Linked DNA regions of Caenorhabditis elegans. The protein of the gene in region 1 purifies or fractionates together with the protein of each later gene. This does not show direct contact. Each region holds a gene or a part of one and is shown in the gene's direction. Other genes may lie near its edges.

Evidence for each region.
Region 2: the proteins of scd-2 (region 1) and fsn-1 purify together in Caenorhabditis elegans (affinity purification with western blotting, with the first as the bait; one study listed by BioGRID). This does not show direct contact.

Annotation. Positions count from the first base shown.
Region 1 is NC_003283.11:6,631,465-6,639,305, forward strand, and holds the start of scd-2 (ALK tyrosine kinase receptor homolog scd-2), read left to right. Parts: upstream 1-1,760; 5' UTR 1,761-1,804; coding exon 1,805-1,972; intron 1,973-2,017; coding exon 2,018-2,075; intron 2,076-2,473; coding exon 2,474-2,653; intron 2,654-2,707; coding exon 2,708-2,812; intron 2,813-2,858; coding exon 2,859-2,950; intron 2,951-2,994; coding exon 2,995-3,122; intron 3,123-3,168; coding exon 3,169-3,314; intron 3,315-3,451; coding exon 3,452-3,589; intron 3,590-3,631; coding exon 3,632-3,966; intron 3,967-4,021; coding exon 4,022-4,155; intron 4,156-4,200; coding exon 4,201-4,346; intron 4,347-4,388; coding exon 4,389-4,639; intron 4,640-4,921; coding exon 4,922-5,492; intron 5,493-5,540; coding exon 5,541-5,660; intron 5,661-5,748; coding exon 5,749-5,865; intron 5,866-5,914; coding exon 5,915-6,063; intron 6,064-6,116; coding exon 6,117-6,358; intron 6,359-6,408; coding exon 6,409-6,535; intron 6,536-6,585; coding exon 6,586-6,788; intron 6,789-6,907; and 4 more. UniProt on the Caenorhabditis elegans protein: Probable tyrosine-protein kinase receptor which regulates the dauer/non-dauer developmental decision probably by controlling daf-3 transcriptional activity in parallel or together with the TGF-beta pathway.
Region 2 is NC_003281.10:4,935,308-4,939,970, forward strand, and holds fsn-1 (F-box/SPRY domain-containing protein 1), read left to right. Parts: upstream 1-2,014; 5' UTR 2,015-2,053; coding exon 2,054-2,140; intron 2,141-2,279; coding exon 2,280-2,493; intron 2,494-2,542; coding exon 2,543-2,906; intron 2,907-2,958; coding exon 2,959-3,106; intron 3,107-3,645; coding exon 3,646-3,831; 3' UTR 3,832-4,146; downstream 4,147-4,663. Other genes in the region: mrps-18C (Large ribosomal subunit protein uL3m), read left to right, coding at 271-461, 508-896, 974-1,101, 1,215-1,379, 1,425-1,763; rpb-2 (DNA-directed RNA polymerase II subunit RPB2), read left to right, coding at 4,295-4,429, 4,473-4,663. UniProt on the Caenorhabditis elegans protein: Component of a SCF (SKP1-CUL1-F-box protein) E3 ubiquitin ligase complex which is required for the restriction and/or maturation of synapses in GABAergic neuromuscular junction (NMJ) presynaptic neurons.

The DNA of each region.
Region 1 (7,841 bases):
TTGGTAGTTTTTAGGCAAGGTAGTATGCATCTTAGAAAACTCTCAGGCGATGTTTATTCATTTTGTCTAAATATTTCCAGATCCGCAGAACCATTAATGGAGTAGAGCCATCAAATTCATATCTTTATATTTCAGTGCATAGTATAACTCTATCTTTCTTTCAACTAAAGCTTTGAACTGTGCACCCTAGATGTGGAGAGTCTAATTTAAGCGGAACAGGGTTTGATGTTCGAATCACGAAAGCGACCGTTCGCGATCAGCACCGATTGAGAGTCGCGGTGCGCGCATTGAGCTCACTTTTAGTGGCTCTTCTTATTTTTCTTTTTTTCTCACGTCATGAGTATTCCTTTCAGTAGTACTCATTGCAAGTCTAGTCTTGAATCCTCTCAGTCTCCCTATTTTTTTCGTCTGCAATTTTCCCCTTTTTTGTCTAGTTTGTTCATCTTTTCCTCCGTCACCAGACTGACCAGCTCATGCCCACATCTTCTGATATATTTGTTTTCTATCCCTATCTCTCTGTCTTTTTCTCTGTCCCTTTCTTCATATGTTAATACACTTCATATGTTTTTCTCTCTTTTTCTCCTGTCAGTGAAAGCCAAAAGTGCGTGGCGTGGGCTCGGGGAGCTGAAACGAAATGAGTGGCGAACCGGTGTGAGCGTGCCGTGTGAGCTTTTGTTGCTGCTCCTTCTATCCCTATCCATTTTGGTGTTAATGCCATGGAGAGAATGTTTGCATGATATATTCCGCGGAAATTGGGAATTGGCACCGCGGATCAAAAATTAGAAGACTTTTGAGAATGAGAATAAGAAGAGTAAGAAATGGGTTAAGAGCGGCGGCGACGACGACGACGGCGGAATTTTCTCCTCTCGACGAATTAATTAGAGATGGGAGCAGGAGAAGAGGGTGAGCAGAGACTTTGTGCTTTTTTCCTTTCCTTCAAAGATTCTCTTTTCTGCAACTTTTTTCGCTGTTTCTCTTAAGAAGTCTACCTTCTCTATCCGTTGTCTTCGCCGTCCGTCAAATGTCATGTCTATACCGAATTAGTCGGGTGAACAGCAGGTGGTTTTGTCACCGCCCCGTGTTTTTTCCCGATGGCAAATTTAGATTGAATTCATGAAGCCTGATTTATTTTGTGCAAATAAAGTCTCGTTTCAGGCATCTTTATATGTATTTGGAATATTTTTTTTATTCTAATTTATTCCGTTCCTGTTGTTACTTTCCGAGAAATTATATAGATTTACCTCAACAACTGAAACGTTTTTTTTCAATTGCGAAACTCAAAGTAGGTGGACCAGAATTAATTAAAACTCACCTCCCTCAATAGTTTGAATAATTTGATGAATTGTTCTTGTTGTTTCTGATGATTACTTACTGATTTCCAAAACGCTTGCAAAAATACTTGAGTGAAACCAAAATTAAATGAAACTTTATAGAAAACTCCTGCAACTTAAATCGGGCATTTGTGAAAAGTTGTCAAAAACTGTAAGAAGAAAATATTAAAAGTAATGAATGGACACGACATGTTGCTCAACTTTTACTTAATTTTATGTGGCAGCGAGCCCACAATTTCCTAACAATTTTTTGACAAACGTTTTCCTTTTTTCTCCAGTTCATAAGCGTTCTTCACGATCTTCTATCTTCTCCCAGTAATCCGCCTCTTCTTGCTCCACTAATCTTTCCGAATATTTCATATCCCGTGTCTCTTGCTCCCCCCACCCTTCTCCTCCTCTTCACGCTTTTTTTTTTGATACATTTCCCATTTTTAGATGTCACTTCATTTCCATTAAAGTAGCGAACCAGTAAGATGCGTAAACGAAGACTATGGTGGTTTGTAGTCCTTTTTCGTGTCACACTGGTTGGTGCCATTTTGCCAAATGAGACGTTCGATGTGAGACGATACTATGCGGATCGATTCCTTATTGAGGATGAAGAAAATGGATCTTCAAGATCATATTATATTTCCGCAGAATCAGTAAGCTGAGTAGTTAGTGAGTAAATCTAAATTAACCTCTTTCAGAAAGCAAAAGCTGCAGAGCAATTCGCACTACTAGCACCCAATTGTTCATTAACTAGCGGTAAGTTTTTTTTTCTGTTGTAAGATCTACTTTCAGAAATCGTGAAAAAACAATTAATTGGACAATAAAATTAAAACTTTTTTCATTCACTTTTTTTTTCATTTAACTAACTTTTTACTACTTTGAATTTTGAATAAAACGTAGTATTTACATAATTGGCAGTGACAGACATTTTCAACAAAAAACCAGATTTCAATCGACATAAAGACAGATAAAATAACTTTAAAGCTTAACAAACTCAAAAAAATTCAGTTAAAAACATTAAATTGAGACTAAACGGAAATGATATCTACATATTATTGGAAGTTTCAAATTTGATGGCAAATGGTTTATGTTTCAGTTTTTTATCCTTGCTAGACTATGTTCTATGTAGTTCCTTAAGAAAATGCTATTTTCAGACATTCAAGAAAACACTTGCAATGAGACAAGCTCATTTTGCGATCATCGAGTTGATTCGACTTACAAAACATATCATTATGAGCAAGAAAAATGCAACTGTTTCATAGAAACTTGTGACGAAGAGACCAACTCGACAGAATTAATGGTCTTGTATCCAGACTGTTATTGTGGAAAACGAGGTAAAAATAAAACTTACAAACTATACATATGATTGGAACGCAACTGTTTTTCAGAGAAACATTGCGATCTGAGCAAAGAAAAGTGCCATTGGACTCCAGATAGTGATCATGATGATTTAAAATTTGAAGTTTTTGAGTCATCTAATAAGGTCCTTTTTGGTGAGTTAATTAAATAATGTCGCCGATAAATTCTAATTTTGTATAGATTATATGCTGCAAGCTGGTTCAGAAAAGGCAAATCTCAAAATGAACAAGGTTTCGATGGTTAGCAAGTTTTTTAGGCAAAGTGGTTTCAACGTAAGTTGACTTGAATCGTTAAATACCAGAAACTGAGATTTCAGTGTTCGTTACGATTTATGCATCACTTCACTCATCAATCCTCAACATCTCGACTTGTCGTAAGATCCATTTTGCAATCTGGGGAAAAGAAAAACCTATACGAGCACTGGCTGAAACCAGCCAGCGTATTGTGAGTAAAATGAAGAAGGGACAAACCAAAAGTATTTCTCTTTCAGTTGGGTGCCGGTCCAGGTTGCGATTGGATCTTACGCAGAACCATTTAAAATTTCAATAGATTGTGAGACTGGATTTCCACCAAAGAAGAAGAAAAATAAGCCATTCACATGCAGTATAGCAGACATCTACTTTGAAAACTGTGGTGGTGAGTAGTTGAAAAAACTTGCAGCTCATAACTGTGATAAAAAATAACATTTTAATTACAAGTTAGACAAAAAAAACCGGTAGAAAATATTTCGCCTCTCAACAATTATTTAAAAAATCGAAGACAACTTTTTTTAGAGATTCGAGACCCGATTGAGCAATGTTCTCGTGGTGATCAATTTCTATGCTCTATATCTGCTAACACACGGTGCCTCCAAAATGCTCAATGTGATTCACGAATTGATTGTGACGATGAATCTGATGAAATGGACTGCGGTACTTTTATAATTTTTGATTGAGAATAATCACCTTTTTTAGGAAATATTAATGGGACAATGTGCGACTTTAATGGTCAGGATTACTGTAACTCTTGGTACCAAGTTACAAATGTTACTGATTACCATGAAAGACTATCCGAACCAACTACAGTTGCCCCTTTAAACAAATTGAATGAAGTACCTCTACATCTATTCCGCCTGCAATCGCCGTCAGCGAAAATCAAGGAGGCTATGCGAGGATCAGGGAATATGCTGGTTTTTGATCACAAGCCAAACCCTTTGACTAGAAGAACATCAGCTTTAGTCTCACCAGAACTACCAAGAACAAATCCAGAAGCATATGATGAGAAAAGTCCATTGTTTAAGTCGTGTAAAGTAAGTTTCAATTCGTTTAAAAAATTCTTAAAATTTGTGCACATTACTAATTTAGCTTCGATTCTACCTTTGTTCGCGAACATACTCAAAAGTATGGCAAATATCTGTAATATCAAAAGGAATCAATCCGATGGAAAGTGGAAGAACAATAATTTATGAAGCAGGATATACTTTGATCCCAAAAGAAAAGTGAGTTTTCTCATACTATTATTCTGTTAGCAAAATTAATTTCAGTTGTACCTGGGAAAGAGTATTTGTGAATATACCAAGACAAAATGCAGGATTTCGTATTGGAATATTTGTGACAAATTATTTCCCTGGTTCCGAAGAGTATGTGGCAATCGATAATCTATCCTTCAGTCCTACCTGTTTTGAAAGAGGTTTGCAATAGGGATCCTGACTGTTCTAAAGAAATATTTTAGATATTAATCAGTCAACTTGGGACATCCCCGATCTTTTCATTAATACATGTGGAGCTTCTGGGTTTGAGCAACCACAAAACTGCGATCACAATCGAGAACTTGATGGTCAAACCGGTCATTTTCTGAAAGAAGACGGAACTCAGCAATGGACAGTTCCTGTTACAGGATTTTATAGGATGGAAATATGTGGAGCTGGTGGTGGTTCAAACTCAAAAGCATCGGGAGACACTGGAGATTGTGTCACACTTCAGGTTAGTTATTCAAACGTTTCAATTAGCATTTTAAGCATTTTCAGTTCATAAAGTAATTTTAGAAGGTACGAGTATTCCCGAGTATCTTCGAAAAATGTTAGTCATATCACAAACCAATTGGGGAACAAATTTCTATATTTACTGACATTACATATAATTTCGTTAAATCAAGTTCAAAAAGCAAAAAAAAATGGTTGAACAATTGTCCTGATCTTTTTGAACTTATGACATGTTTAAAATAAGAAAAAGTTAAAATGAGACCGTGAAATAATAATATTTCAGGTTCACCTGATCGAAAATCTCTCCCTGCGTATGCTAATTGGTCAAATGGGAGAAAGTCCATGCTTCACGGAGCACGATGATGAGCTTCGACCTTCTTCATGCTCAAAAATCAGCCACAACTACGTGTATGATGGAAAACGAGGGGCTGCTGGTGGCGGAGCAACTCTGCTAACCGTTGAAAAAGATTTGTGGAATGTTGTGGCTGGCGGTGGAGCTGGAGCATCATGGGATGGTTTTGACATGGAAGTCGGTTATGGAGCATCCGCAATTCATGTCAAGCCAGATCAAAGGTGTAATGAAACATGTAAAGCCGTGTCGCATACTGATTTTATCGTTGAACGACGCGATAATCGATGTCCCGGCGAAAAAGGTGAAAGCACAGTGTTCGGAGGATTCGGTGGAGGTGGGAACTCATGTGGAATGCTCGGTGGCAGTGGTGCAGGATATCAAGCAGGAAATCCGTTTGGGAAGAGTAGAGCGAGAAGTGGATCAAGTAATGTGTCCATTGACTTTTCAAAATCGCCCATTTACTATCAATCCGAAAGACTTGACGAAGGTTATATCAAAATTGGTAGGCAACAATTACTTTGAAGCACAGTTTAAAAACTTTTTTATTCAGCATTTTGCCGCAAACGTTGTGAACCTCCAACAGTGTGTAGGTTCCGAAAAGATTACTTTGAAGAAGAGTACTGTGGCTGTCCTGATGGATCAAATGTCACTGACACTGAGGAAGCTTGTGGTAAGAACAGTTGAACTTTCATCATTTTTTTGAAATTTGATTCTTCAACAAACTAGTTTTGAAAACAATAAAATAACGCCCATTTAAGCTTTTCCTCTGGTATGCCCTTCATCATCGACAAACCAGTACCGCAATTTTACCTACGAACCATTTTGTCTTTGCAACAACGGGAAGGAAATTTATGACGTGTACAACGATACTTGCGGTTAGCTTGTTCAACATTTCAAAGTGGCTCACTAAATCTTACTTTGTAGAAGAAATCCAAATTTGGACCTTGTACAACATTACGTTTTTGATCTTCGCGGCCCTAACGATCATTGGTGCCTTGTTCGTTGTTTATCACTACCGTAACCGCGAGAAGCAGATGAAACAGGAAATCTTAGATCTCACCCAAATGAAATCAGTAAGCAGCGGATTACCACTAGACCGGAATCTTATGATTTTCATTTCTTCCAGCCGGATTACCTTTACGATGACATCTATTTCGGTCGAACGACCAGAAAAGCTGCTCTCGACTCTTTACCATCAATATCAAGAGATTCGATTGAAAGGGGAAGAGTGCTGGGAAGAGGAAACTTTGGTGAAGTTTACTACGGGGAATATAGTGGTGTCAAGCTCGCAGTAAAAATGATTTCAAGGACGTTCTCAGCCAGCCAAGCGTCGCAGTCAGATTTCTGCAACGAAGCGCTTTGTATGGGGTAGGAAACATGTCTTCTTGTTAATTTCTTAATTTATCTCCCTACTTTAGAACATTCGTGGATGAGAATGTAGTTCGTCTGATTGGAATTGACTTCGAGAAGGTCCCATATATGATTGCACTTGAGTACATGGAAGGTGGCGATTTACTATCTTTTGTGAAGGAGTGCCGTCCCAACGTAAGTTTTCATGCATATATTTAAATCAAAAAAGTTGTTTTTTTTTCCAGCAAGTATCACTAAATCCATTCCAATTGGCAATGAGTGACTTAATTAAAATATGTTGTGACGTGGCAGCGGGTTGTAAATGCCTGGAAACATTTGGATATGTTCACAGAGATATCGCAGCACGAAATATTTTACTCACAACAAGAGGACCGCAAAGAGTTGCAAAAATTGCTGATTTCGGAATGGCAAAAGAGATTACATATGGGTAAGTGGGTTATTAGAAGCCAATACTCTAATCTATTCAAAAATTATATTTCTAATGTATTCAGATCCTAATTGGATTAACTTTCAGCAAATCAGTGCATTTAAACATAAATATTTCAGGACTGAATACTACCGGATAAATGGGCGAACAATGATGCCAATAAAATGGACTCCACCTGAAGCATTCATCGACGGTGTCTTCACAACAAAGTCTGACATATGGAGCTTTGGAGTTCTATGCTGGGAAGTATTTTCTCTTGGAGTTGTCCCATATCCAAACCGACGTAACGAAGAGGTGATGCTCATGCTGACAGAAGGTGCTCGTCTAGAATATCCATATGGTATTCCCACAAGAGTCTATCAATTGATGCGTGACTGTTGGAAGACTGCTGCGGCTGATCGACCAAAGTTTGTGGATGTCGTCGAGATTTTCCAAGACATTCAAGATGATCCGGCCTCTGTTGGCATGCCTTTCCCAATTCATCCAGCCGTTCGAGCAACATTTGCACATTCGCAATCCACGCCAGTCTCCGTGGAGACACCAATGACCGCAATGACTGAAATCTCACTGAACAGTACATTTACAGATGCTTCTACGGTGAAAGTATCTGCACAACAAGACATGCAGGATAGAATCCAACGTGAGTAGTAATTCAGAAAATAAAAACTATAAAATTTGTTAAAACACAAAAATTGCAAGAAGCGATAGTTTAAAAGTTAACCGGAATTTTTAAAAATAACAAACCAATGTTTTCAATTGTTCAAAATTTTGAAATTTCAGTGCACGAACTGATGCTAACTCGTGAGCATCCATACACTTCGGAGCTCACATCATATGTTGTAAATAGTATTCGAAAAGATCTCGCAAGAGTCCAATATGAGAATGGATTGACATCGGTTCCACAACCAGAGTACCTTTCACCGGAAAACAACGACGAATCCGTTCAATTGATTCCTCAAAGTAACACTGTTACTGATCAAACCCCACCAACATCTTTAATTGATTTGAATAGACTCGGTGTGCAAAATACGGTGAGTTTGAATTAAAACTTGG
Region 2 (4,663 bases), on another chromosome or scaffold:
TTTATTCCCATTTTTCATTACTTAGCAGAATCAATCACTTCATTTGGCTGAATAGCTACTATTTTAACACAAGTTTCTTTGATGCTTGTCAGAAGTGTTATTCATTCAAGGTATAAAGCTATAATTAGCTATGCCATCATTTTATATTTCGTCCAGCTCTCGTATCTCGCATTTTTATTTCCATGCGGAGTTTCTGATGATATTTTCTTCATTTTTATTCTAGAATTTCATGATCAATTATATCTCACTAATATTTAATCTTAATTACAGATGCTCCGTTCACTGGTATCCAGTGTGACGACGGGTCCGACTCCAGAATGGGCCGGGAGAATTCTAATGGCCTTCAGTGGACATATCAGTCAGCAGAGAGGTCGCAGAAGAACATTGACCCCAGCTCCATGGCTTCCGCCAGTCAAAGAGAGTGTGCCGAAAAGCAGTGTGGGTATTAGCCAGGGGACAAAGTAAGTTGCATTAATTCTTACCTGTTTAGCAAACGTTTTTGTTCAGAAATCTGCTTGAAACCGTAATTGAGAAAGAAACTCTTGCGGCGTCCACCATTGCATTTCAAAATTCTCAAGAAACCAATGTCTCAGTTGTTGACATTCCAGATTCATCAAGACGTGTGGGTCTGGTTGTCCGCAAAATCGGAATGCTCCCACAATGGACAAATGAAGGAAACCGAATTCTGTGCACTGTGCTTGAAGTTGATGAAAATCATGTTGTCAGTATTACATCACCAGAGGCTTGGTATAAATCGTCAGCCGTCGGAAAAAGAAAGGCTTTCAATCGTCACGGTCCTATGTGGAGAGTTACAGTGGGTGCCGGAAATGATGATCCAACAAAATACACGCTTGGGTACCGTAGGCAATTTGTTCGCGCAGGAATTCCAGTGAAAGGTTGGGTTTTTTTTGTGTTTTGCTCCGCTTTTCGATAGTCCTTCACCGTAAATTCATGGTTAAAAAAATAAATTCAGAGAAACTCGGATGTTTCCTGGTAACAGAAGACGCTCTCCCCAGTGCTGGACAGCCACTTGATGCCCGTCACTTCGGAGTTGGTCAATATGTAACTGCTACTGGAAAAACTATTGACTGGGGATTCCAGGTAATTTTTTTCAATTTACAATAGTCTAAAACTTCCAAAATTTCCCTTGCAAGCCAAGGAGCAAAATAATCTCTCAACCCTTGCGAAATATTTTCGAAACTAGTCGTTTTCAGGGTGGAATGCATCGATGGGGAATGCGTGGACAACCGACAAGACGTACCACAAAATCACATCGTAGAATTGGTTCCGTTGGTTCAGTCGGCGATGCTCGAATTTGGCCAGGAAAACGTATGCCGGGACATATGGGTTATGAGTGGAGGACTGTTTCTGGTTTGGAAGTAAGAAATTGCTCTCGATTTTAATTTTCAATTCATTTATTTAAGATTGTTCGAATCAATGTAGATAAACAAGTAATTTATGTGAAAGGAAGTGTACCTGGTGATATTGGAGAAACAATTCTACTTAAAGATTGCTTACAAGAAGAAAAACGTCTGAAATCCGGCCCAATGCCAACATGGGCTCCATCACTAGAAACCATCGAAGAAGAACCGGAGACAGAACCCGAAGAAGGCACAATTCCCAAAAATCTTCTTTTCAACGAAAAATTCTCGCCCAAACTGTTCCGTTTCACATCTCCATCCATTTTATTCACTGATGCCGACGCCAAGAAGGCCACTGGAAGAGATAAAACGAAAGCTAAGATTGCAAAAGTTAAAAAGTAATGGTGTATCTAATTTTATGATATATTACGGTTTTCCTTTATCGTTTTTTGTCGAAATTCGGTTTATTAGAATTTTTGTTCCGTAGATTTATAGATTTTTCATTGTTTTGCATTGTTTTTGTTTGTTCTGAATACCAAAAAGCAGAGTTTATATTCAATTATTTGTTGATTTTTTTCCAAACCGGTCGTTTACCGAGATTTACTTTATTTCTTAACATTATGCATTCTGAAACTTGGATTCTCAATTTGAAGCGAATGACAAGACTGTGGTGAGCTGGTTAATCGAGAAGTATGGCTGAAAACGACGGGGAAACGATTGTTCCAGACGAACAGTGCAATTTGACGGCCTCAACGCCTATGAAAAGTAGTGGGTTGGAAGTGAGTTGCTTTCTTTTTTCAAAATACTGTTTTTGAAACTTGAATTTTTCAAACTTCAAAGCTAGACAATATTTTTAAAAAATTGTTTATGAAAACAAGCTATAAAATAATAAAAAAGGGAAATATATTAAATTTTCAGCAAGTGGAAAGCCCGAAAGAACGAAAAACTTCAATGGTGGAATGTGATGACGAAGGGAATCCATCATCAGGAACCCCAGATGAATCACCAAAACAATTGACTCCGCATAGCATTCCCCCAAGACGACGACGTTCTCCACGACGCCCGGAAGTGTCAGCTTCTAGACTTCCTCTGAAAGTACTGAATCAGATTTTTCAGTATTTACCATTGAAAGGTAAACATATAACATTTTCCCCCTTGAAGTTACATGGCTCTGTTTTCAGACCTACGATCTGCAATGCTAACCTGTCATAGTTGGAATAACGCTCTTTCAATGGAAGACAGTGACATATGGCAGTACCTTCTTGGCAAGAAGCTTCCAGAAGCAGCAGTTTCCGATCCCTTCCTGCTCGCCGAGCTGGGATCTGCAAAAAAGAAGCTGAGAGCCTGGTATTTTGCCTGGAATACGAGCGATATTTCAAGAAATAACTACATCCGTACCAACGGTTTCACTGTTCACCGGCAGCCAGTTGCTCAGTCAACAGACGGTGTCCGTGGAAAACGAGGGATTTCAAAAGGAGTACACGCATTTGATATAACTTGGGATGGACCGTTGGGAACTGTAGCCGTTGTTGGTATTGCTACTAAGTGAGTAGTTAATTTATTTGAAAATTTAAAGATATATCTTTAACATTTTCAGACATGCTGCTCTTCACTGTGTTGGCTATGTTGCTCTCCTCGGATCAGATGATCAATCATGGGGATGGAATCTTGTAGATAATGTTTTGATGCACAATGGAGCACAGCTTGGTGTTTATCCAAAAATGAACAATCCTCCGAAATATGAGGTATTTCACTAAAAAAATTCAGTTATAAGCCGATGCAAGCAAATATATTTCGTTCTAGGACGAAACAACGGTATTGGGCCACAATTTTACAAAATACGACGTTCTTGTTTTATAAAGTTGTTTAATATGTGAAAAAGTTCAATTTTTCATCTCTAACAATTTAAGAAACATGAACGTCATGGTAAAATCGCATGACGAGTTTTTTTTGAGTTGTCGAGAAATTTCCAATAATTAACTTTTTCTGTATATCTGCATTGTGAAAAGTGCTAGAAATTCAAACCATTTTTTTTATTTCCTCGGCTAGAATTCACAATATTCAAACTTCGATAAATTGAAACAATTATTTTCCATTCACTAAAACTGTACAGAAAAGAAAAATTATATTTTTTAACAAAGTGAAATTTTAAAAATTTAGAACAAGTTTTTTTGTTGTTTTTTTTTTTTAATATTTAACTTCCTGAAAAATTATATTTTGAAATAATGGTTTAAAATCTTCGAATAAACTAATTAGTTAAAAACTGAAATAATCCTTTTTCCAGGTCGGCGATAAAATCCGCCTAATAATCGACTGTGACACCCATGTCGCTTACTTTGAACGAAACTCGGAATTTCTCGGAATCGCATTCAACCATATTCCCCCATTACGTCTCTATCCGGCTGTCTGTGCGGTTTATGGCAACACAGAAGTGACAATGGTGTATGTTGGAAGTCCACAAATGGGTTGAAGACGTTCGCTAGAGCGTATATTCTGACTTCTGCGCGCGTATTTATTCGCCACTCAAAATGTAATTATTCACATGTTTTCATCGCTTGTCTCATATTTCTACTGTTATTATAATTTTCAGAAAAATATGAAAATTATTTAATTCTGATATTAAACTTTACCTGTAATTAAAACACTCATAATAGATCTTTTTCCCGCACGCTTTCCTCTCACACACTTTCTCATTCCCATATTGATCTCTTTTATTGCTTATCGAGCTTTTCTAGTCACTTCGTGATAATTGGTCCATTTCTCAATGAAGCTTTTTCGTCGCTTTATAATAATATTATATGCTTTTTAAATTGTTTATTCGGTTTTTTCTTTGTAAAAATCCGCTAAATACCTATAGTTTTTCTTGAATTCTTTTTTCCTAATCATCAACTTTTTCAGCCTCATATCAGAATCACTGTACGTCGCCGGCAAAAATGATGTACGATGATGAGGATGAGATGGTTAATGACCCGATGGACGGAGACTATATCGATGATTCGGATGAAATCAGTGCAGAAGCATGGCAAGAAGCATGTTGGGTTGTTATCAGTGCTTATTTCGATGAAAAGGTATTTTTGATTATAAAATCATGAAAGAATCTCTTTTTTGAAGGGTCTCGTTCGTCAACAACTTGATTCCTTCGATGAATTCGTCCAAATGAATGTGCAGCGAATTGTTGAGGATTCTCCGCCAGTCGAACTTCAATCAGAAAATCAGCATCTTGGCACAGATATGGAAAATCCTGCGAAATTCTCATTGAAATTCAATCAAATTTACCTCTCGAAACCAACTCACTGGGAGAA